Anolis sagrei: one gene and its partner. The protein of the gene in region 1 purifies or fractionates together with the protein of each later gene. This does not show direct contact. Links are inferred from orthologs where the notes say so. Each region holds a gene or a part of one and is shown in the gene's direction. Other genes may lie near its edges.

Region 1 (7,171 bases):
TAGTACAATGTATTGTCGAAGGCTTTCATGGCCGGAATGACTGGGTTGTTGTGAGTTTTCCGGGCTGTATGGACATGTTCCAGTAGCATTCTCTCCTGATGTTTCGCCTGCATCTATGGCAGGCATCCTCAGAGGTTGTGATCCACTGTGGGGTTGGCGCACCTCCAGGGACGGATCCCAGGGCTTTTTGGGGTTTTCAGGTGGGAAAGTAAGCTACTTTGCAGCTCCGGTGTGGTCGGGAATCAATGTCTCAGGGTGCAGCCACGCACTATGATCACAATAATCATAATCATAATTATAATAATTCATTTTGAGTTGCAGTGACTTTTCCAGGCTGTCTGGCCATTTTCCAGAAGCATTCTCTCTTGACATTTTGCCTGCACCTATGGCAGGCATCCTCAGAGGTTGTGACTTCACAACCTCTGAGGATGCCTGCCATAGATGCAGGTGAAATGTCAGGAGAGAATGCTTCTGGAACATGGCCATACAGTCCCGAAAACTCACAACAACTCAACATTAGTATAAGCTATTCCCAAGCTAGGAACATTTGACTTACAAATGACTCCTAGTTAGGAATGGGGATGAGACAACATGAAATGAGAGAAATCTACCCCTAGGAAGGGAAATTCAGTCCTTGTTGTTATCATGGGGAAAAGGTGCCTCCACGGACACTTTATCTCTAACCTTTGTTTCCACAACAAGCCAAAATTTTCAAAATCCAATGATCAGAGAGCCAGAAATCTTCTGAACAGAGGCACAGACAGCAAAACAAATACTAGAGGGTGTTAATCCTTCCCTGTGCTATCTAAAGGTAATATATGTGGCGGAATGAAAATCACGCGTAGTTCACATCTTTACCAGTCCACACACTGTCTTGCTAGAGAAAAGATATGCTGATGATCAGTAAAGAATAAGGTGTTTACTCTTTGTTATGCAGAGCAACATATATATAGTCATGTGAACAGTTACATTGACTCACACAATGTCCTTTGAGAGAGATTCAAATGGTCTTTAGGTGTCCATATGAAGGATCATCTTCTAGCAGCCCAGAAGCAGAAAATATTAACTGCCTTGGTAAGCTCTTGCACAGAAAACCTTAAAATGTAACTGTTGCCTAAACTCCCAGACTCAGCTAATTTCTTGGGTGTAGCCCAACCAATTAACTTTCTCAGTTAACACACTCACTAACTGATTTTACATGCTCCAGCAATACATATGGAACTACACTTTAAAATGTATCTGTTCTGACTTACATACAAATTCAACTTAAGAGCATAAGGACTGTCTTTATTCAACTATTCAGAATATTAAAACAATGAAGAACGTGCAATTAAAAGAACAATAAAGTAATATGGAATAGTTCCATTAGATCAATACAACACCTTAAAAACTTTGAAAAAGACATATTACACTGGGAAACACAGGATGCCAAGTTGGAGAAAACTGCCTTAGGCATTTGCAGCAGAAAAGGTCAACACAACACCGATATACCTATTAGCAAAGGATGTGGAACCACTCAGAGTTTCATGTTGGCTTTGGGTTTTTGGCTTGAGCGAGCACAAGGAGCTCATTCATGAGACATGTTGTGGCCTAGCTCTCATTAACAGCCAATGCGTTGTACAGATTGGGGATTCGAAGGGCAGCCAAGGATGGGAAAATCCCAGTTCAAATTACTGCTCAGCCTTGAAGCTCAATGTGTGACCATGGGAGAGCTGCTGTCTTTGAAATAGCCTTTCATGATTATTGTGAAGGCAAAAGGGGACTGAAACTGTGTATGGTAAGAAATAAACACACATATGAGAGAATCCCCATATCCAAGTATTCAACCTTCCACGTCTAGTAAATATTCACACACACATACACTTCAATTTTGCTATTTTATAGAAGGGAACCCAATTTTACTATTCCAGCATTTCTCAACCTGGGGGTAGGGACGCCTGGGTGAGTGGGGAGGGGATGTCAGAGGGGTTGATAAAGACCATCAGAAAACATGGTATTTTCTGTTGTTCATGGGGGTTCTGTGTGGGAAGTTTGGCCCAATTCTATCATTGGTGGGGTTCAGGATGCTCTTTGGTTGTAGGTGAACTATAAATCCCAGCAACTACAACTCTTAAATGTCAAGGTCTATTTTCCCCAAACTCCACCAGTGTTCATATTTGGGCATATTGAGTATCTGTGCCTAGTTTGGTCCAGATCCATGATTGTTTGAGTCCACAGTGCTCTCTGGATATAGGTGAACTACAACTCCCAAACTCAAGGTCAATGCCCACCAAACCCTTCCAGTATTTTCTGTTGGTCATGGGAGTTCTGTGTGCCAAGTTTGGTTCAATTCCATCATTGGTGGAGTTCAAAATGCTCTTTGATTGTAGGTGAACTATGAATCCCAGCAACTACAACTCCCAAATGACAAAATCAATCCCCACCCCCACCCCATCACTATTCAAATTTGGGCGCATCAGGTATGTGTGCCAAATTTGGTCCAGTGAATTAAAATACACCCTGCAATCAGATATTTTACCTTACGATTCATAACAGTAGTAAAATTAGTTATGAAGTAGCAACGTAAATAATGTTATGGTTGGGGGTGACCACAACATGAGGAACTGTATTAAGAGGTTGTGGCATTAGGGAGGTTGAGAACCACTGAACTATGTCATTGCATATAATGACTTGAGTATACATAAATTTTGGCATACTGGAACCGTATCCCAGTGGATAAGATTTTCAACTCCAACAAGTTCCTCTAAAGCAGCTTACAAAGAAAGAATAACACTGAATAAAACATAAAAATCAACACTAGATTAAAACTATATATTAAAAGCATTAGAATTAAAACCTATTTTAAGGATCATGCCATCCCAAGCAGAAAAATAATATTTTCATGGTTCACTTCACATGCAATGAAGGGTGAAGCTAGTCTTCGCCTCAGTGGGATGGAATTCCACAACTCCCACAGAAAAGGCCCGTCCTTCTCTTCCTGTCAATCAACCCTCTTTGGGTGAAGGGACATAAAAGGAGGGGGTTGGAGAGACAGTGGTTTCCAAATAGTCAAAAGGCTGCCACATAGAGGAGTTAATGGACTTATTCTTTGGTACCACCGTGAGTTCAGTTCTTTGAGCCAGGATGCAGCCAGGCTTTGAAGCTGCAAGGCTATTCAATGCTAATCAAGGTGATTAATTGCAACATTCACACTTGCCTCAAAGAGACAAGAGTTGTTTCCGCCCCCCCCCCCGCCCCCCCCCCGGACATTATTCCACAGATATATGAATCCCACTTGCCTAGTTTCCAACAGACCTGACATCCTCTGAGGATGCTTGCCATAGATGTGGGCGAAACGTCAGGAGAGAATCCTTCTGGAACATGGCCACGCAGCCCGGAAAACTCATATACTTTTTTCCCACCCTGGACATTATTCCACATGCATATAAACCCCACTTGCCTAGTTTCAAACAGACCTGACAACCTCTGAGGATGTCTGTCATAGATGTGGGCGAAACGTCAGAAGAGAATGCTTCTGGGTCATGGCTACGCAGCCTGGAAAACTCATATACTTTTCTCCCACCCTGGACATTATTCCACATGCATATAAACCCCGCTTGCCTAGTTTCAAACAGACCTGACAACCTCTGAGGATGCCTGCCATAGATGTGGGCGAAACGTCAGGAGAGAATGCTTCTGGAACATGGCCACGCAGCCCGGAAAAGTCATACATATACTTTTCTCCCACCCTGGACATTATTCCACATGCATATGAATCCCACTTGCCTAGTTCCCAACAGACCTCACAACCTCAGAAGATGTTTGCCACAGATGTGGGCGAAACGTCAGGAGATAATGCTTCTGGGAAATGGCCAGACAGCCCGGAAAAGTCACAGCAACCCAAAATGTATTATTATGATTATGATATTATGATCATAGTGTGGTTGATTCCCGTCCACACGGGAGCTGCCAAGTAGATTTTGCTTTCCCACCTGAAACCCCCAACAAGCCCTGGGATCCGTCCCTGGAGGAGCGCCGACCGCGCAGTGGATCCGCCTGACTCTCGTGGGTCTGCTCCAGAGTGCGAGGCGAGGTTGGGGGCGAGGTTTCAAGGGGGCGGCGCCTGTTTGTGGGGGCGGAGCTCGGCCCCTCCTTCGTCACTGGGAGCGAGTCTCTGGAGAGAACAAGGGGCTCATTCAGAGGGAGGGAGGGAGAGAGGGAGGCAGCCGTGAGCCCGGGGCCTCTTCTTCTTCTTCTTCTCCTCCGCGGGACTCCGGCCCTTCCAGGGACCCTTAAGCATGCTGCCTCGGCCGCCGCCCGCCTTGTACCTGTCCCTCCTCCCGGGGCTGGCGCTCGCCTTCAACCTGGACGTCGGCAATGTGGTCTTGTGGAGCGGCGAGCCCGGAAGCCTCTTCGGCTTCTCCCTGGCCATGCACCGGCAGCTGGAGCCGCAGGAGAGGAGGCTGTGAGTAGGAGCACCAGAGTGTACACATAGATAGAGAGGTCTCTGCCTTTGCATACCTCTAGAGGCTGCTTGGCTGGACTTCACTCCTGCCCAACTCAGACCTGAGTGCCCAGGTTGGCGTGGATGGCGGTGGCCATTGGGAGCTCCCAGGACCTTGTACATCAAGGCAGGAAACCCCACATTAGTGTGGACTCAGATAACCCAGTTCAAAGCAGATCTTGTGGGATTTTCTGCCTTGATATCCTGGGATATAGGGCTGTGTGGAAGGGTCAGTTCAAAGCAGATATTGGATTTTCTGCCTTGATGTTCTGGGTTATATGGCTGTGTGGAAAGGCCCGCAGATAACCCAGTTCCAGGCTGATCTTGTGGGATTATCTGCCTTGATATCCTGGGATATATGGCTGTGTGGAAGGACCCTCGGATAATCCAGTTCCAAGCAGATATTGGGGGATTTTCTGCCTTGATCTTCTGGGTTATATGGCTGTGTGGAAGGACCCTCAGTTAACCCAGTTCCAGGCTGATCTTCTGGGATTTTCTGCCTTGATATCCTAGGATATAGGGCTGTGTGGAAGGGCCCTGAGTCTCACCTGATCCTTTTTAGGCTGGACCCACTCTAACCACGAGTTTTCCCCTATATTTAGAACCAGTCCCACCAAGGCGTTGCAATTTGGGAGCTTTTTTGGACTTCTAAAAGCAGATCAGGCTGGCATTTTTGAAGGGATCGTCTTGTTCTTTCCCTGCAGGGAAAAGGGTTGGACTGGATGGCCTTTGGGGGCTCTCTGTGAGTGTAGGATTGGAAACTTGGGCTCCAAACTCTTTTGGCTTTTGAGTCGCGCCTTTTCCATCTCTGGGAAGGGAGGTGTGGAAGGAGGGAAGGGGAGAGGCTGGACCCACTTCCGCCGGAGTGGGGCCTTGATCCCTACCTTCCAACGCCGGTGGCACACTGGGTTAAACCCTTGTGCCGGCAGGACTGAAGATCGACAGGTCGCAGGTTCCAATCCGGGGAGAGCGCGGATGAGCTCCCTCTGTCAGCTCCAGCTCCCCACGCGGGGACTTGAGAGAAGCCTCCCACAAGGAGGGTAAAACATCAAAACATCCGGGCGTCCCCTGGGCAGCGTCCTTGCAGACGGCCAATTCTCTCACACCAAAAGCGACTTGCAGTTTCTCAAGTCGCTCCTGACAAGGGGAAAAAAACAAAACCCTGGAAGTCGTGCTTAAGTGTTTGGCTGCGTCTGTTTTATTTGAACTGAAACCTCGGAGAAGCCACCTGTTTGCAAGCGCATGCTCAGATCTGAGGAGAAAAAAACAACAACAACAGATGAGGAATGGAGGCAAAATCATGGGACTGATCAAGCATTGAGAGCTATGACCCTAGTATCTACGCTTTCCATTTAGAGCAGTTTCAACCCGGTATTCGAGGCTCGGTTGGTAATTCCACAGAGCTCTTTTCCCTCCTTTCCCGCGCTTTGTGAGGAATGTGTTGTCTGGTTACTAACTAACGTCGAGCAAAAGGTTTTGCAACATCTACAACAGGTAGGGGCAAACTTCGGCCATCCTGGTGTTTTGGACTTCAACTCCCACAATAAGGAATTGTGGGAGTTGAAGTCCAAAACACCAGGAGGGCCGAAGTTTGCCCCTACCTGTTGTAGATGTTGCAAAAACGTTTGTTTTCCGGAAGTGCTACCTGATTTCACACAGCGCCATATTAAAAGAAACAAGATTCCGAAGCAGATTCAAAACACAACAAAACAGCCCAGCCCAATAGGCTTGGCATCCTTAACCAAGAATGTGAAGGCTTCAGGGTGTGTGTGTGTGTTGGGTGTGTGTTGTGTGGGCAGAGCAACACAAGCAGCCTCCCCTGAAGGGAAGGCGAGCCTCGCAGGTCAGCTCAGCAACCCAGCGCCAAAAGGCGGGCCCAAAACAAGCCAATGAGGTGGTTGTCCTGGGAGGAAAAGCAACTTGAAAAGACAGGATGCCAAGGTGGAAAGGCTCTGGTGGAATGTGCCTGCTTTGAAGATTTTTTTCAGTGTCAGGATCAACTTGAGAAACTGCAAGTCACTTTTGGCGTGAGAGAATTGGCAGTCTGCAAGGACATTGCCCAGGGAATGCCCAGATGTTTTGATGTTTTACCATCCTTGTGGGAGGCTTCTCTCATCTCCCCGCATGTGGAGCTGGAGCTGACAGAGGGAGCTCAACCCACTCTCCTCGGATTGGAACCTTCGTTTTGTTGGTCAGCAGCCCTGCAGGCACAAGGGTTTAACCCACTGCGTCACCACTTTTTTTGGTCGTGTCAGAAGCAATTTGAGAAACTGCAAGTGTGTGAGAGAATTGGCCATCTGCAAGGACAGAGGACGCCCGGATGATTTGATGTTTTAATCATCCTTGTGGGAGGCTTCTCTCATGTCCCCGCATGAGGAGCTGGAGCTGATAGAGGGAGCTCATCCGCCTCTCCCCAGATTCGAACCTGCGACCTGTCGGTCTTCAGTCCTGCCGGCACAGGGGTTTAACCACTGTGCCACCACTGAGAGCAGAAGATGAAACACAGTGGGAGGAGAAGGAGGAAGCCTTTCCTTCTCTGTGGTGTCTTCAGATATGGTTCTCTTGAGCGACCAGGAGACTTTTGACTTCAGTTTCTTTTCATCATGTTGCTGGTTTATGCACTTCATTTCAGGGAGGGAGTTTTAAAGGTGTTGTAGCATAAATTATCCTGAGGAATCTGTATATGGA
Region 2 (7,015 bases), about 48 Mb from region 1:
GCTGCCCTGGAGACTAGGACATGGACAATGGCTTCAAACTACAGGAAAGGAGATTCCACCTGAACATTAGGAAGAACTTCTTAACTGCGAGAGCTGTTCTGCTCCGGAGAGCTCTCTGCCCCGGTGTGTGGTGGAGGCTTCTTCTTTGGAGGCCATCTGTCAGGGGTGCCTTGAAGGCGATTTTCCCTCGTCTTGGCAGGGGGTTGGACAACTGGATGGCCCACAAGGTCTCTATGATTCTATGAGACCCAGGATCTCTTTGGCTGAGCAATTTAAAGGCCCTAAACTATAAGCCCCAGAATTCTGCAGGAGGCAGAAACTGGATTTAAAGTGGATTCATGCTCTAGTGTGACGAGGTCTGATTATAGCCAATAGACAATGATAGCCAATAGACAATTATAGCCAATAGAGAGATTGCCTTTTTATAGCAGCTGCACATGATGCTATCATTGAGCTATCTACTAAGATCGCTTTCTTGGTCACTCATTGATCAGCAGGAATCTTGACAATGTAAATGCAAATTAGGGATCATTTACCCCAAAGTGTTAGATGAAGCCATTTGCTTTAGCAGATGAACTCAAGTTGCACATTTAAAGAATGTTCCTCAATACAACTATTAAAAACATATCACGTATTTCAGTTACGATCCCTTCTACTAAAAATATTACTATCTACAAACTATTAATGTTTATTGTGAAGTTCAGTGGTGAATGTAGCATAGCAATAGCAGCAGCAATCCACTTTTACAAGTGTATTTAGAGGACAGCAGAACGTAATAGCAAAGGATTTGTTGTTGTTCATTCGTTCAGTCATCTCTGACTCTTCGTGACCTCATGGACCAGCCCACGCCAGAGCTCCCTGTCGGCCGTCACCACCCCCAGCTCCTTCAAAGCAAAGCAAAGGATACTGGACTTATTAAAAAAAATAGAAATACAAAGTATTTTGGAGACTATAACTTTTTGAGTGCTTATTTCAAGCCCAAGGCGTGTATGAAAAAAACAATTTTAATTTTAATTTGGAAATCTCACTGTAAATTATGCTGCAGTTCAGCAAACAGCTCTTGCCTTCACTCAGTAATCACCATAATTTTGTAAAGAATCAGAGCAAAGGCTGATCTAGTCTAACATTGTTTGTACAGCGGCTAATTAGATGCCAACGGAAAGCCATATCAGGAAATGAATGCATTAGTATTCCCTGCTTATGTCCCCTAGCAACAGGTACACAGAGGCATACTGATTTGGAGACTGTAATATATAGCCACCATGCCTAGTAGCCATTTTTAGCCCTTTGCTCCATAAATTACTTTAAACTTTTTAAATACTCATCCAAGATGGTAGCAAATGTTCTAGTTTTACTATGCACTATGTAAAGAAATACAATACAATCCCCTTATCCATGGGGTGGATATCCAGTTTCACTTCTCCCTGCTCCAAAACATATTCTACCTGGGAGTGTTGGCGGACCTCTCTCTCCAACGTGATTCTATGATATGCTTCCTGCTGAAATATAGTCAAAATGTAGGGTTTGCTATTAGCCACAGTTTAAGACATCCATAGGAGTCTTGGAACATATCCCCTGAGGATAAGGAGGTCATACGGTACTACTTTTTATCCATTCTTAATCTACAATTACATTTGGTTTCATTAGATTACCCTAGGTTCTAGTACTGCGAGAAATATCTGACTCATTTCTCTATTTTTTTGTGGGCACATTATGTCCGATTTATAGGGGCCTGAAGGGAGGATTTTCTTGGCAAGATTTGTTCAGAGGAGGTCTGCCTTTGCTATTCTCTGAGGCCTCTTTTACACTGCCATATAAAATCCAGAATATCTGCTTTGAACTGGATTATATGGCAGTGTAGACTCATATAATCCAGTTCAAAGCAGATAATGTGGATTATCTGATTTGATAGAAGCTTCAGTGCTGCAATGGGTTAAACCCTTGTGCTGGTTGAACTGCTGACCTGAAGGTCGGTGGTTTGAATGTGCGAGGTGGGGTGAACTCCCATCTGTCAGCTCCAGCTTCCCATGTGGGGACATGAGAGAAGCCTCCCACAGGATGGTAACACATCCAGGCGTCCCCTGGCCAAATACACAGTATTTCAAATTTAAAAGTCTCACCATAGATTTCTGTAGGGAAATATATTGGTAGTTTTATTTCCAACTCCTTTTCTAGATTTCACTCTCAGGCCCTTTCCACACAGCTGCATATATCCCAGTTCAAAGCAGAAAATGTGGGATTTTATTCAGCTGTGTGGAAGGGGCCTTGAAATGAACCTCATAAGACATTTTAATACACATCCCTGCAGTATAAACAGCCTTTTCGCTCTTTGCAACCTTTTTTGTTCTAAGTACCTAAATAATTTGGCATCCCCAGAAAATCCTGACTATATTCTTGCTCCTCCCAAGTTTTTTAGGAAGTTAAAAAGTCCCAGAGACCATGATTATATCCCTCCATTATGAGCACCCACTATTATGGCAACCCCACGAATCTCATGTTTGTTTTTTTCAGGCAGGGGATACTTGGGGTGGTTTTGCCAGCACCTTCCTCTGAAATAGAGCCTATAGACAGGCATGGGCAAACTTGGGCCCTCCAGGTGTTTTGTACTTCAACTCCCACAATTCCTGGCCTCAGACCCCTTCCTTTTCCCCCTCAGTTGAGGCCAGGAATTGTGGGAGCTGAAGTCCAAAACACCTGGAGGGCCCAAGTTTGCCCATGCTTGGTATAGCACCTATATTTGTTGGCAATATCCCATCCAAATACTCACTAGCGCTCACCCTCTTTAGCTTCTGAGATCAGATGGTGACTGGTGCCTTTTGGGGTGTTGAGGCAGGTCACTTCTTCTCTCTACCAAACTCTGGTCCTCCAGATGTTTTCAACTTCATCTCCTAGAACTTTAACAGATTGCTAAAGGCAGCTGAAGCTTCTGCGAGTTGGCAGTGCTAAACATTGGGTATTTAGCTGGTTCTCCTTACGCTTCCTAGAACCTGTCTCCTCTCCATCCCTTTCCTCCTGCTCTCTGCCAAACTGTGGTCCTCCAGGTGTTTGGGACTTCATCTCTGAGAATCCCTGATAGTTAGTCAAGGCAGCTGAGGCTTCTGGGAGATGAAGTCCCAAACACCAGGAGGAGGAGGAGGAGGAGGAGGCGAGTTTGGGAGCCCCTACTTTGGGATATTTACCTGGTTCACCTTACTCTTCCTAGAACTCGGCTCCTCCCTATCCCTTTCCTCCTGATCTCTGCCAAACTGTGGGACTTCATCTCCCAGAATCCCTGATAGTCAAGGCAGCAGAGGTTTCTGGGAGATGAAGTCCCAAATACTAGGAGGAGGAAGAGGAGGAGGAGTGTTTGGGAAGCCCTGCTTTGAGGTATTTAGCTGGTTCACCTTACCCTTCCTAGAACCCGGCTCCTCTCCATCCCTTTCCTCCTGATCTCTGCCAGACTGTGGTCCTCCAGGTGTTTGGGACTTCATCTCCCAGAATCCCTGACAGTTAATTAAGGCAGCTGAGGCTTCTGGGAAATGAAGTCCCAAAAACCAGGAGGCGAGTTTGGGAACCCCTGTTTTGGGGTGTTTAGCTGGTTCATCTTTCTTACCCTTCCTAGAACCCAGCTCCTCTCCATCCCTTTCCTCCAGGTGTTTTGTACTTCAACCCAGAATCCCCGATAGTCAAGGCAGCTGAGGTTTCTGAGAAATGAAGTCCCAAACACCTGGAGGAAGAGGGGGAGAGGAGAGTTTGAGACCCCTGCTTTGGGATGCTTAGGCGGGCCACCAGGGCCCTCTTCTCCCAGAGCCAGACTCATCTGCCATCCTCTCCTCCTCTTCCTTTCCCCACTTTCCCCAAACTCTAGTCCTCCTGTGGACGACCTCTCCCAGCATCCTTGATGATTGTGCAAGGCTGCCGAGACCTCGGGGGGGGGGGGGGGGGCGAGCGTGGGTGAAGCCCTGCTTGGGGGCCTTGGGGCGGACCTCGCAGGGCCCAAAGGCGCCCTCCCCTCTCCTTCCCGGGCTCCGTGGGCGGGGCCAGGAGGGCTCCCTCCCGCTGGGCGTCCCCACCGGCGGCGAAGAGAGGCCCGAGCTGGCTCCATCCGCCAAGAGGGCTGGCTGGCTGGCCTTGGGAGGAAGAGGAGCAGGAAGGAAGGCAGGCAGCGGGGGAGCGGCTTTGCCTTTGCGCTGCGCCAGGACTCGCCGGGAGACAAGGTGCGCCGAGGGGGAGCCCTGCAGGAAGGGAGGTGGGGGGCGCAGGGGAGAGCGGGGCCCTTCTTTCCATGGTGGGGATCCAGCCTGGCTTCTTGACCCATTTCAAGAGGCCGGGAAGGACCCGCGACTCGCCCGGCAAACTTCCAGAAAGTGGGTCCCCCCCCCCCCCCCCCCGCCTTGCCTCCCTTTGTCTCTCCGGATGTCTTTGTGAGGCAAGGAAGTGGCCTGCTCAGCCCACGGGTTGAGTCAGATTGCAAAGCAGCCAAAGGTTAACCTGGTTCACATTTCTCTTAAAATCTCCCTGGGAGGGAATCTCTAACTCATGATTTCGGGATCCAGGTGTGGTCTTCTGCCCCTGCGGCGGGTTTTTCCTCCTCTTCCCTTCTTGTAAATCTCAGGCGGTCTACGTTGGGTGGGCTGCCTTGCTTTGTTTTGGGAATGGGAAAGATCACCCAGCCCAACAACAAAACATTCCTGGTTTCTAAGGGGAGGGGGAAAAGGAAGGGGCCTGAGGCCAGGAATTGGGGGAGTTGAAGTTCAAAACACCCGGAGGGCCCAAGTTTGCCCATGCCTGTCTATAGGCTGTATTTCAGAGGAAGGTGCTGGCAAAACCACCCCAAGTATCCCCTGCCTGGAAAAAAATGAAATTCATGGGGTTGCCATATTTAGGGTGCCCACTGGATAGACCGCATCACCTTTAGTGTCTTAGGCAGGCACGGGCAAACTTGGGCCCTCCAGGTGTTTTGGACTTCAACTCCCACAATTCCTAACAGCCTACCGTTGAAGTCCAAAACATCTGGAGGGCCCAAGTTTGCCCGTGCCTGCTCTTAGATATCGTTGTCAAGATTTCTTATGGGCAGGCAGATGGCGACTGGTAAATAGTACATATTCCCCAAATAAATAGTTCCCCAAATAATTCGCCCCCCCCCAATTTGATCCATAATCAGATCCCTTTTAGAGACATAGTGCTCCCCTTACATTGCCACCAAGTTTCTAATCTTGTCATCTGCCCTCAGCACTTGATCCATCAGCCCCAACCCCTTTGCAAGGGATTTGCACCAGCCGCCGCCTGAGCTCAGAACTGTGCACTACTCAGACCACCTGATCTTATTTTTCTGGTTATTTAATATTTAATGTTTATTTTACTTAAGTGGTATTTGTCTTTACTGTTCTAATGTAGCACAAATCCGATGTAAAATCATACTACGTATTTTTGACATTAATATTGAAATCTGAAATATATACAGAAACTCCTTGCTAGATAGATGTTTGCTATGTATTGTATCACACGTGGTTGTTTCTATACTGTTGAGATGCTTTTGTGAATTTTGTTGTTATATTTTAACTACTAGCTGTACCCACCATGCATTGCTGTGGCCAATCTTCCTCTTTCTTTCCTTTCTTTCTCTCATTCCTTCCCTCTCTCTTTCCTTCTTTCCCTTTTTTCTTTCCTTCTTTCCTTCCTTCTCTTGATCTTCCCTTCCTCCCCCCTTTCTATTCCTTACTCTTTCTCTCATTTCTTCCTTCTCTACCTATTCTTGGACTGCAGCTCCCACCAGTCCTTTTGATCAATCTACCTACCTACCTATCTCCATCTAATCTATCTATCTATCTGGAGGATTGCTGGGAGTTGCACTCCAGGAATAGGAAATTGTAAATATGCAGGAATTGGGATGCTCTCAAAGAAATCTAGGGAGAAGAAAGCTTTGTATCTTAGAAGCAGTGCATTTGGATCATCCTCCTCTCCTAAAGGGCCTGGTCTAGGGAATGCTGGGAGCTGTCATCCGGAAGAGAGTGTGGATATGCTATTGTGTGTTTTGTTTAGTGGGGGGGGGGGGGTGTGGGAGGGAGTTTTTATGAGTGATGGTCACTCGTTGGCCTGATAGGCATATTGTGTCCAAATTTGGTGTCAATTTGCCCAGCGGTTTTTGAGTTATGTTCATCCCACAAACAAACATTACATTTTTATTTATATAAATGTGGAATCTCGAGCATGTAAGCCACCCCAAGTCCCTTCAGGGAGATGGAGGCAGGGTACAAAAATAAAGTTGTTGTTGGTGGTGTTATTATTCTGTATTTCAAAAACTAGATCCAATGAGAAAAAAATTGTGCCATCTTTGGAATCAGTAGGTCAAATCTACAGAGAAACAGGGCTAACATTTGAGGCACCAAAATATGTGTGGCCAGTGTAATCTTTCTCTGCCCACACCTAGCCAAGCTTGTGGTTCTCAACCTGGGGTCCCCAGATGTTTTTGGCCTTCAACTCCCAGAAATCCTAACAGCCGGTAAACTGGCTGGGATTTCTGAGAGCTGAAGGCCAAAAACATCTGGGGACCCCAGGTTAAGAACCACAGACAGTCCCCCAGTTACAAAGTTTTACAAAGTCCCCAAGTGTTTCCACTTTCATAGGTGTCCTGAACCCTTAACCTCACCAAATGAGGAAGGAAGGATGGCTGTACAGGAAGTCCCCAAGTTACAAGCAACATAGGTTCTGTAGGTTTGATCATCAGTTGAATTTGTATGTAAGCCGGAACAGGTAAATTTTAAAGTATAACTCCTGCCTACACACACACACATGCATTCACACACATATGCATATACATACAACTTTGGCTAGCATAGGGAAGGGTTAACAGCCCTGTGGTGTTTGTTTTGCTGTATGTTCCCCTGTTGAGAAGATGTCACCTCACTTTCTGTCCCTGTAGTAATTTGATTTTGAAAAATGTGGCTTAGTAACAAGGATTGGTAAGAAAACTTCAGTTGAGACACCTTTTCCCCATGATAACTTTTTCAGGGGTGAACTTCCCTTCCAAGGGGTA

Evidence for each region. Proteins that work in one complex are often made in the same cells at the same time.
Region 2: the proteins of ITGA6 (region 1) and CD151 purify together in Homo sapiens (co-immunoprecipitation; 3 studies listed by BioGRID and IntAct, with this or other methods). This does not show direct contact. The link is inferred for Anolis sagrei from reciprocal best matches to the Homo sapiens genes ITGA6 and CD151.

What each region holds. Positions count from the first base shown.
Region 1 is NC_090021.1:193,438,600-193,445,770, reverse strand, and holds the start of ITGA6 (integrin alpha-6), read left to right. Parts: upstream 1-4,164; 5' UTR 4,165-4,277; coding exon 4,278-4,444; intron 4,445-7,171. UniProt on the Homo sapiens protein: Integrin alpha-6/beta-1 (ITGA6:ITGB1) is a receptor for laminin on platelets. Integrin alpha-6/beta-1 (ITGA6:ITGB1) is present in oocytes and is involved in sperm-egg fusion.
Region 2 is NC_090021.1:241,272,355-241,279,369, forward strand, and holds the start of CD151 (CD151 antigen), read left to right. Parts: upstream 1-4,015; 5' UTR 4,016-4,196; intron 4,197-7,015. UniProt on the Homo sapiens protein: Structural component of specialized membrane microdomains known as tetraspanin-enriched microdomains (TERMs), which act as platforms for receptor clustering and signaling.